2 linked regions of the Rattus norvegicus genome follow. The protein of the gene in region 1 interacts with the protein of each later gene in a pairwise test. Links are inferred from orthologs where the notes say so. Each region holds a gene or a part of one and is shown on either strand. Other genes may lie near its edges.

What was found.
Region 2: the proteins of Ushbp1 (region 1) and Necab2 interact in binary tests that used the Homo sapiens proteins (3 or more experiments, as listed by UniProt). The two-hybrid records come from large-scale screens. The link is inferred for Rattus norvegicus from reciprocal best matches to the Homo sapiens genes USHBP1 and NECAB2.

The regions. Positions count from the first base shown.
Region 1 is NC_086034.1:18,099,068-18,103,321, reverse strand, and holds the start of Ushbp1 (harmonin-binding protein USHBP1), read left to right. Parts: upstream 1-1,454; 5' UTR 1,455-1,545; intron 1,546-1,790; 5' UTR 1,791-1,862; coding exon 1,863-1,916; intron 1,917-2,128; coding exon 2,129-2,250; intron 2,251-2,445; coding exon 2,446-2,881; intron 2,882-4,254.
Region 2 is NC_086037.1:64,426,999-64,430,498, reverse strand, and holds part of Necab2 (N-terminal EF-hand calcium-binding protein 2), read right to left. Parts: coding exon 3,388-3,500; intron 934-3,387; coding exon 815-933; intron 687-814; coding exon 607-686; intron 1-606. UniProt on the Homo sapiens protein: May act as a signaling scaffold protein that senses intracellular calcium.

The DNA of each region.
Region 1 (4,254 bases):
GAATGCTCCCATAAGACACTGTGTCCAGGAACCACCCTCAGGTGAAGTAACAGCTTGTTCGTTTTCCTTTTTGTTTGTGACAGCTTCATGTGGCCCAGGCTGGACTCTAACTCTAGAGCTATATGGTTTATCCACTGTAGAAGCTTCCCAAAGCTCCTTTTCCCCTGAAGCGGCGCCGGTCAGGTTCCCGGGGAAACACAGGAAACCCAAATAGCCGACCAACCTTGCAAAGGATGCGCCTTTCTCGGGGTAGCGTCTCGGGACTTCAAGCTTCCCCCCCCCCCAAGTTCTCAAGCAGAACGAACCTGAAGCTGCAGCAAGCCGAGTCGAAGTTAGACCGCGGCGACACAAAGTTCGCGCGCGTTCACACCGCCGCAGGTTCCACTGCCTGGGTACCGGGGCCAGTCAATCAGGTCTCTAGGAAGCCGCCATCTTCCTTACCGGAAGTGCTACCTTCTGGGAAATGTAGTTCAGTGGCCTTCAGGACGTGGAAGCTGATAGGCTGAGGCGTTCTAGGGGTGTAGCTTGGAGTGTAACGGGCTGGAATGGGGCTGAAGAGGGAGGGGTAGTATTGAGAGTGGGTGTGACCCGTGGTGAACTGAAGCAAAACTGAGAGGAATTTGTAGTTCGGGCTTAATCACACTAAGGTTCTCAAGGCCTCTGCTGTGATAGGACAAGAGATTGAGCTGGGCGGGGCCGTTTGATGATTGACGGGGTAGGAATTGGCTTGGACTTGCCTAGGGCCCTCTCAGTTACTTATGTGACTTGGGCTGGTATTCATTCACTAGTTCCGCGATGCGAGCTGGTGGTGCACACCTGTCATCCCAACACTCCAGAGGCCCGAAGACGAAGATCGGGTGTTTAGACAGCCTGGACTATATGAGACGCTGTGTGAAAACCAAATGGAAAGAAAAAGTAAAGAAGCCACTGTGGACAAGCTCACTGTCGCCGGTGACTCCAACGGCCTGATGCAGTAGTTCAGTCTCGTTGAAGAGAAACCTTGTGGGCTACTGAACAGGTGCAGGCTCTTGCCGCCAATCCTGACGACCTGAGTTCGATCTCGGAGACAAGCAGTACCATCACAGACAAAGATAAATAATGAAAAATAAAAGCTATGCAAGTGCTGGAGCCAACTCTCTTAGTTTTGTTTTTAGAGACACAAAATAAAATTTTAAAAAGACCTTCACATTAGAGCGAGCCCTGATGAACAGGGGGACACAGAAAATCCAAAATAAAAATGGAGGCACTACATGTTTGGGCTGGGATAAGGGGATACTGATATCTTGGAGTGGGACAAAGGTCCTGGTCCTCCATCCTCTTCCTGTTCTGGAGGAAGCTGGCATCCTGGAGAAGGAAACAAAACAATAACTGTCCATGTGATCAGGGTAGGGAGCTTCCTGTTTCTCAGCCTCTCCCAGGCCACCTTTGGCCATTGCAGCCTCAGTAGCCAGTGGCCAGAATGGCCTGAGATATTCTTAGGAGTTCAGACCTTTCCCAAGGTGCCCTGGAGAAGAAGAGAAGAGGGCCGCAGGGCCAATCCCCAGGGTGAGGGAGTTTGGTACTAAGAGAGTCGTGGGAAGAAGGAGAAATCTTAGGATACCACTCAATGCCTCCATAGGGAAGAGAGGGGGCACAGATAAGAGAAATGAATTCAGACAGCGGAGGGAAAAGGAATGCCCGGTAGAGATGGGTGACGGGGAGGAGGAGACAAGTAAACAGTGGGCACTATTGGAGAGGTATTTAAATATTTAAATGTGTCAATCAGTTCAAACGAACCAAAACTCCTACAGGAAAAAACAAAAAACAAGGATACCAAGGTAACAAAAGGCAAGAACTGAGAGCAGGCTGTAGTGACAAGAGTAATGAGTGCCCGGGCCACACGACCCCGAAGCCGGCGAGGGAGGCATCCTCTGCCTGTAAGTGTGCCCCTCTTCCTGCCACACCCAGCCCATGGATCCTGGGAACCCAGGTCTGCTTGGCTCAGAACCTGTTGTGGTACAGGGGAGACCTCCACAGGGAGAGCTGGATGTGATGACCAAGAGCCCGTGTGTGTGTGTGTGTGTGTGTGTGTGTGTGTGTGTGTGTGTGTGTGTACGCACCCGCACATGCACGGGAGTGTCATTCACAGGGGGAGCTGGACCCAGTAGCTGAGAGCTCAGAGGAGGTAGATACCACCAATGGGAGCTTCGAGACTAAACCTGAGCTGCTTCAGGAACATCTTGGTCCTAGCCTGCAGGGCCCTGGGAACCGGTAGGATGCCGGGGCCCATACTCAACTGCCTCCAGCTGCTCACCTGCCATAGCTTCCCCTGCCCGCTTCTCTCCTCTTCCTTTTTACCCTCCAGCCATGAAGCTCAGTCCCTGCTCAGCCTTCCTAGGGACCCTGGGGTCAGCCCTCCGCCTCTGCTGAGTCTCAGGTGGCTAGGGTTCCTGATTATCCTCACAGGATCAAGGAGGATTGTGATGTGGGATCCCATGGGGTCCTACCCTTGAGCCCGGAAGAACGGCGCGAGCCTGAGGTGGAAGCCCACCAGGCCCTGCAAGAAGCCCCTCTGGATACTGGCCCTGCTGAGATAACAGCACCCAATGTGTATGAGACCTTGAAGTGCAGGCTGAGCTCCCTGGAGGCAGTTGTAGCTGCCTGGCGCCGCCACTCGCTAAGCTTTTCAAAGCCAGTGGAGGCAGAAGACAGAGACCCGGGAGCTCCGGGGTCTTTTGGTAATGAGGAAGAAGCCTCTGGACCTGGACAGCAGGAGGCAGCGCACTTCATAGAGAGGAACGCCTGGCTCCGGCTGGCCCTGGGCACCCGGGAGGAGGAACTGGCGCGGACTCAGGCTTCACTGCAGGACGCCCAGGCAGAGAATGAGACTCTGCAGAGACAGGTGAGCTGGTGACTGGGAAAGAGGCAGATCCTGCTTTGAGAGTAGACACTGACGTGGGTGGAGCAGTGGCAGATGTGCCAAGGAAGTGACCAATAAAGACAGCGCGGTGAGAGGGGGAGCAAGGGAGACCGGCAGTCTGCACCCCACGATCTTAACACGCAGGAAGCTCAAGAGGGACAATCTCTACTCTGGCGAGCCCTGGCTAAGACCAACGTTCTTCTCAGCTGTAGACTGAGTCCAAGGTTAGCCTGGGTTACAGACCCTGTCTGTGTCAGTTGCACCGCAGACAGACAGACAGACAGACAGACAGACAGACACAAATCTTATCTTGGGGGTGGTGTTTTTTTCCAATTCAAGGTTTCTCTGTGTAACAGAGCCCTGGCTGTCCTGAACTTACTTTGTAGACCAGAATGGCCTCGAAATCACAGAGATCCCCCTGCCTCTGCTTCCCTAGTGCTGGGATTAAAGGTGTGAGCTATGCCAGATTTGTTTTAAGGTTTCTATTGCTGTAATAAAACACCACAATCAAAAGCAATTGGGGAGGAAGAGATTTATTTCATCTTAAAATTCTCAGGCCTCACTCTGTCACTGAGGGAAGCTCAGGCAGGAACTTGAAGGCAGAGGTTATGGAGGTGTGCTGCTTACTGGCTTGCTCTCCATGCCTTGCTCAACCTGCTTTCTTATCTCAGCCTGCCCAGGGATGGCACTACACACAATGGGCTGGCCCCTCCCTCCCCATCAATCGTCAGTCAGGAAAATGTCCACAGGTCCAATTGGGGGAGCATTTTCTCAATTGTGGTCCCTCTTCCAGAATGACTCTAGCTGAAGTCAAGTTCACACGAACCAGCACAACTCCTGAGATCACTGTAGCTGGAACTGAGTGGGAGAGGTGAAGGCACGTGGGGGAAGGTCACAGTACGCAGGGTGCTGAAGGCTGGGCAGGATTTACAACTGTGTTCTTGTGTGTGGTGGGTTCTGAGGGGAACCCTGCTGCAGGTGTTCACTTGCGCCATCTGATGCCTGTGAGAGGAACAGTCTGGCGGTGGACCATAATCCTGAAGGTGGAGGAGGGGCGACAGCAGTGGCTCGGGGCGTTTAGTAGAGGTGACCAAAAAACCTACAGATTATGGGTGACGTTAAACCCAGATGTGATAGGACAAGCCTGTAATGATAAGGACTTCAAAGGCTGAGATGAGAAGATCATAATTTAGTACTAGCTTTGAAAAGATAGGCAATCGTCTCAAAACAGAACAGAGCCCTAGCTGGTTCTGCTAAGAATCCTCGTCAGCCTGTGGGCGTGGCTCAGGGTAGAGTGACAGCGTAGAATACTCCAATGAGGGGCTAGGGGCGTGGCTCAGCGCTTAGCTTTCAGA
Region 2 (3,500 bases), on another chromosome or scaffold:
ATAAAGGGTGACTATCAGTGCTAACGGGGCTAATGTTAGACGCTAACTGCGACAGCAGGCTCTAACTTGAGCTGCCAGTGCCTTTGGCGAGGGACACTGATCTGTCTCCCCGGTCACCAAAGCAGAACTTTCAGGTTCAGAGAGGGCAAGCTACGAACTCAAAGCCAAACAGCAGAAACCCAGCTCCAACAGAGGAACCTCTGAGCCTACTTATCTACAAGCCCCTTTGAGAGCATTGTGGGTCACACACTGTCCGTAGTAGAAACGTCTCTGTAAATGCTGGTCTGCTCCACACTCCCATGCTGTATTAAGTCGTCAGCAGTTTCCTGTTTGGAATCTGCCCTGGACCACCGTCCCTGGGCTCCCACTGGCACCTGCTTTTCACCTCTGGTCTTGGAGCCAGCGTTCTTGGAAACATCCGTAGCACAGGCCCCCCGCGGTTATCTGTGCCTGGGTTACTCTCTGCGGCCTGCCCTCCCACCGCCAGGACCATGATCCCAGTCTGATCCTTACAACCAGCAACCCACCAGGGCGTCTAAGCTTCCCAGCAAACTCTAAAGTGGATAGGGCTGGGAGAAAGGTGAGACCGGGGTGGGGCAGGCCTACCTTGCTCTCCAGTCTCCCAATCAGCTCTGCCAACCGGCTTATCTGGACCTCCAGCCCCTCCTCCTTTGGCTCCCCTATGGCTGAGAAAGAGAGACCCTGGAGGTGGGCGGGGCCATCCTGAGGGGGCGGAGCCCCAGCCCCTAGACTAGACCCCGGTGCAGATTACTTGGATCCCTTTGGAGGGCAGTGCCCACCCATGCTCTCTTACCCACAGGCAGGCTCTTCACTGGTTCCGGGACCACAAGCTTGTGGTTGGGGATGTAGGGAGGAGTGGGTCCTCCGTAGCGGCTCTCGTTGACGCCAGGACTAGGTTTGCAGTGGTCCTGTCTGCAGTGCATGAAGGAGAAACAGAATGTTGATGAGGGCACCCGTGTGACCAAGGCCACCTCTACTGCCTTCACTGGGCACTTACAAAGCATTGACTGTATCCTGAAATGTGCCCGGACCTACCCTATAACCCCACGTTGGCGGGATGGGCAGAGGGGCCTTCATTTTCTCAGAGGAGGAAAAACCATCCACGAGGCAGATGACTTGACCAAGGCCATATGGTCAGCTGCGGCATAGCTCGGTGCCAGACTCTAGAGGCCAGGCCCCTGTGCCCCTCAGGCTCATTTCCATAGCTGAGGTAAAGCTGAGCATCTATCTGGCAGACCTCACAGTTCATAGCTTCCAGCCACAGGCTGAGCCCAGGCTGAGGAGACACCGTGTATCTTCCCCCCTTCCTATCTCAGTAGAGGCCACTGTGCTATGGATGGAAGACCTAGTTTTGTGTCGGTAAGACCCCCACCCCCAAACAAGGTAGCAAGACAAAACGGAGCCTGGCTTGAGCTTCATCTTTCTTACCCACACATCCATGCACAAGACTCAACAGGCATGCTGTGCCCCTAGCACGGTGACTGCCACCCAGCAGGGTCTCCAAAACTGCAGGGTGAACAGCCAGTTCCTTATGCACAAAGGGAGCCTTGCAAAACCAACTAAGACTTACCAATCAACAGGGTGTGTGGGTGACACCCCCACACTCCGCCTCTGAACCCTTTAGCACATTTTGAAATCTGTCTCCTGTTGACCCCTGAAAGCTTAACAAGTCTTTCTCCCATGCCGAGGAAGCAGGCTCAGCTCCCTCAGCGAGACAAGGCGAGTGGAGGCTTTGAGCTGTGAATCACCAAATCTGTACAAACCAGCAACAAATGCAGTGTCCCTCGGACCATGAAAGGTCGAGTGGGAGGCCGCTCAGGCAGCAGAGTCTGCATAAAAGCTTTTCCTGGAACGCAGCGCCCTTGGGAGTTGCTCTGGGGTGGGGACACACGGTAGCCTCCCCTGGGGAACTCAGGGCCTGAAGCCAAAAGTGTTGATATGTGGGCCAGCATGAGGTGTCTGTGGGCGTGGAACAGATTTCCCATCAAGACACACCACCCACTCCTTCCACTGACACCCCAGGGTTATCCCCTCCCAGTGGGGACAGGCGAGTAGAACCACGGATGTAGCCATGCAGCGTAGGAAGGCAGCCAGGAAAATTGCCCAAGGCTGCTATCTATCCGCAGCAGGAGAAAAGGGGTGAGCTTGATTAAGATGATAATAACAAGTCAATAAAGGGGAAGTCATCTGTTCCTCGGACGGTGGCTGGTGACACTGGGGGCTCAGGATCGTAAGGCTGCTCACATAGGCAGAATCGTGAACCATTTTTTCCAGGTGCTGAGGGCAAACATTTGGCAACGGCATCATTAAGAGGCCCCTCACGGGCTGGAGAGACGGCTCAGCGGTTAAGAGCACCCGACTGCTCTTCCAGAGGCCCTGAGTTCAAATCCCAGCAACCACATGGTGGCTCACAACCATCTGTAATGGGATCTAACGCCCTCTTCTGGTGTGTCTGAAGACAGCTACAGTGTGCTTATATATAATAAATGAATAAATCTTTAAAAAAAAAAAAAGAGGCCCCTCACAATCCTGCCTGATGGAGGGCCTCACTGACCAAACTTCACTCGTTCAAACCCTACCCCACAGCAAAAAGAACATCCTGGTGGCACTGCGACTCTGCCAGGTACACTGAGGTTGTACCCAGAGAAAGCCAAGGCCATGACTTTGGGCTTCCTGACAACTGCCCAGCTGTGTGTGGGTCCCGTTTCTCCTTGACTGCTCCGAGCAGGAGTGTGCTCAGTTAGCTATAGGCAGCATGGAGTGAGGGTTGGGAGGGCTCAAAGCTGAGCAGACCCCTCTCAGCTAGAAAGACTGAAGTGACCCAGCCTGGGCACACTGCACCCACGGTGGCCATGAGAAACCTCTGGGTGCTTGCCAGCATACCTGGAGACCAAAAGAGCAACACCGTGCACTCCAAACCTCTCCAGAGTCTCCTTCAGTATGTTTGCCCTGCCTTCAATAGCTCCCTCAGTCTCTCCAGGTAGCAAGGGAGCCCTTGGAGACTCACAGGGTTCCTGACAAGAAGACGCTTCCCTCAGAAAGGTGGCATTTGTGTTTCCAACCTGCAGCCGGATCCCACTCCCCAAACTGGTTCCCAGCGTTCAGAAGGACATTGTTACGTGAACAAGAACTGTGGTAAGATCTGCAGCTCTCAGGAGTTCACATCCCATACCGGACGTTCTCCTAAGCACATCCTGTCCCACGTAAGCCTCGTGACTCAGGTGCTAGGTCCTAAGTTTGTCCTCAGATTGCAGTCAGAGAAATTGGGGAAACACACGGAGAGGTGCAGCAACTTGTGCACCCAGATCTGAGGGGGTACAACAAGTCAGGCTGCTGTGAGTACCCCAACAGGTCCCACGCACACACCGGATCTGGCTGGTCTGTTCTTCGATGGCTTCCACGGCGCTTTCCACAGAGCTGAGCAGCGACTGGATCTGATTGGCCGTCTCCTTCAGAAGGAAGCGGGTCACAAACTGGTC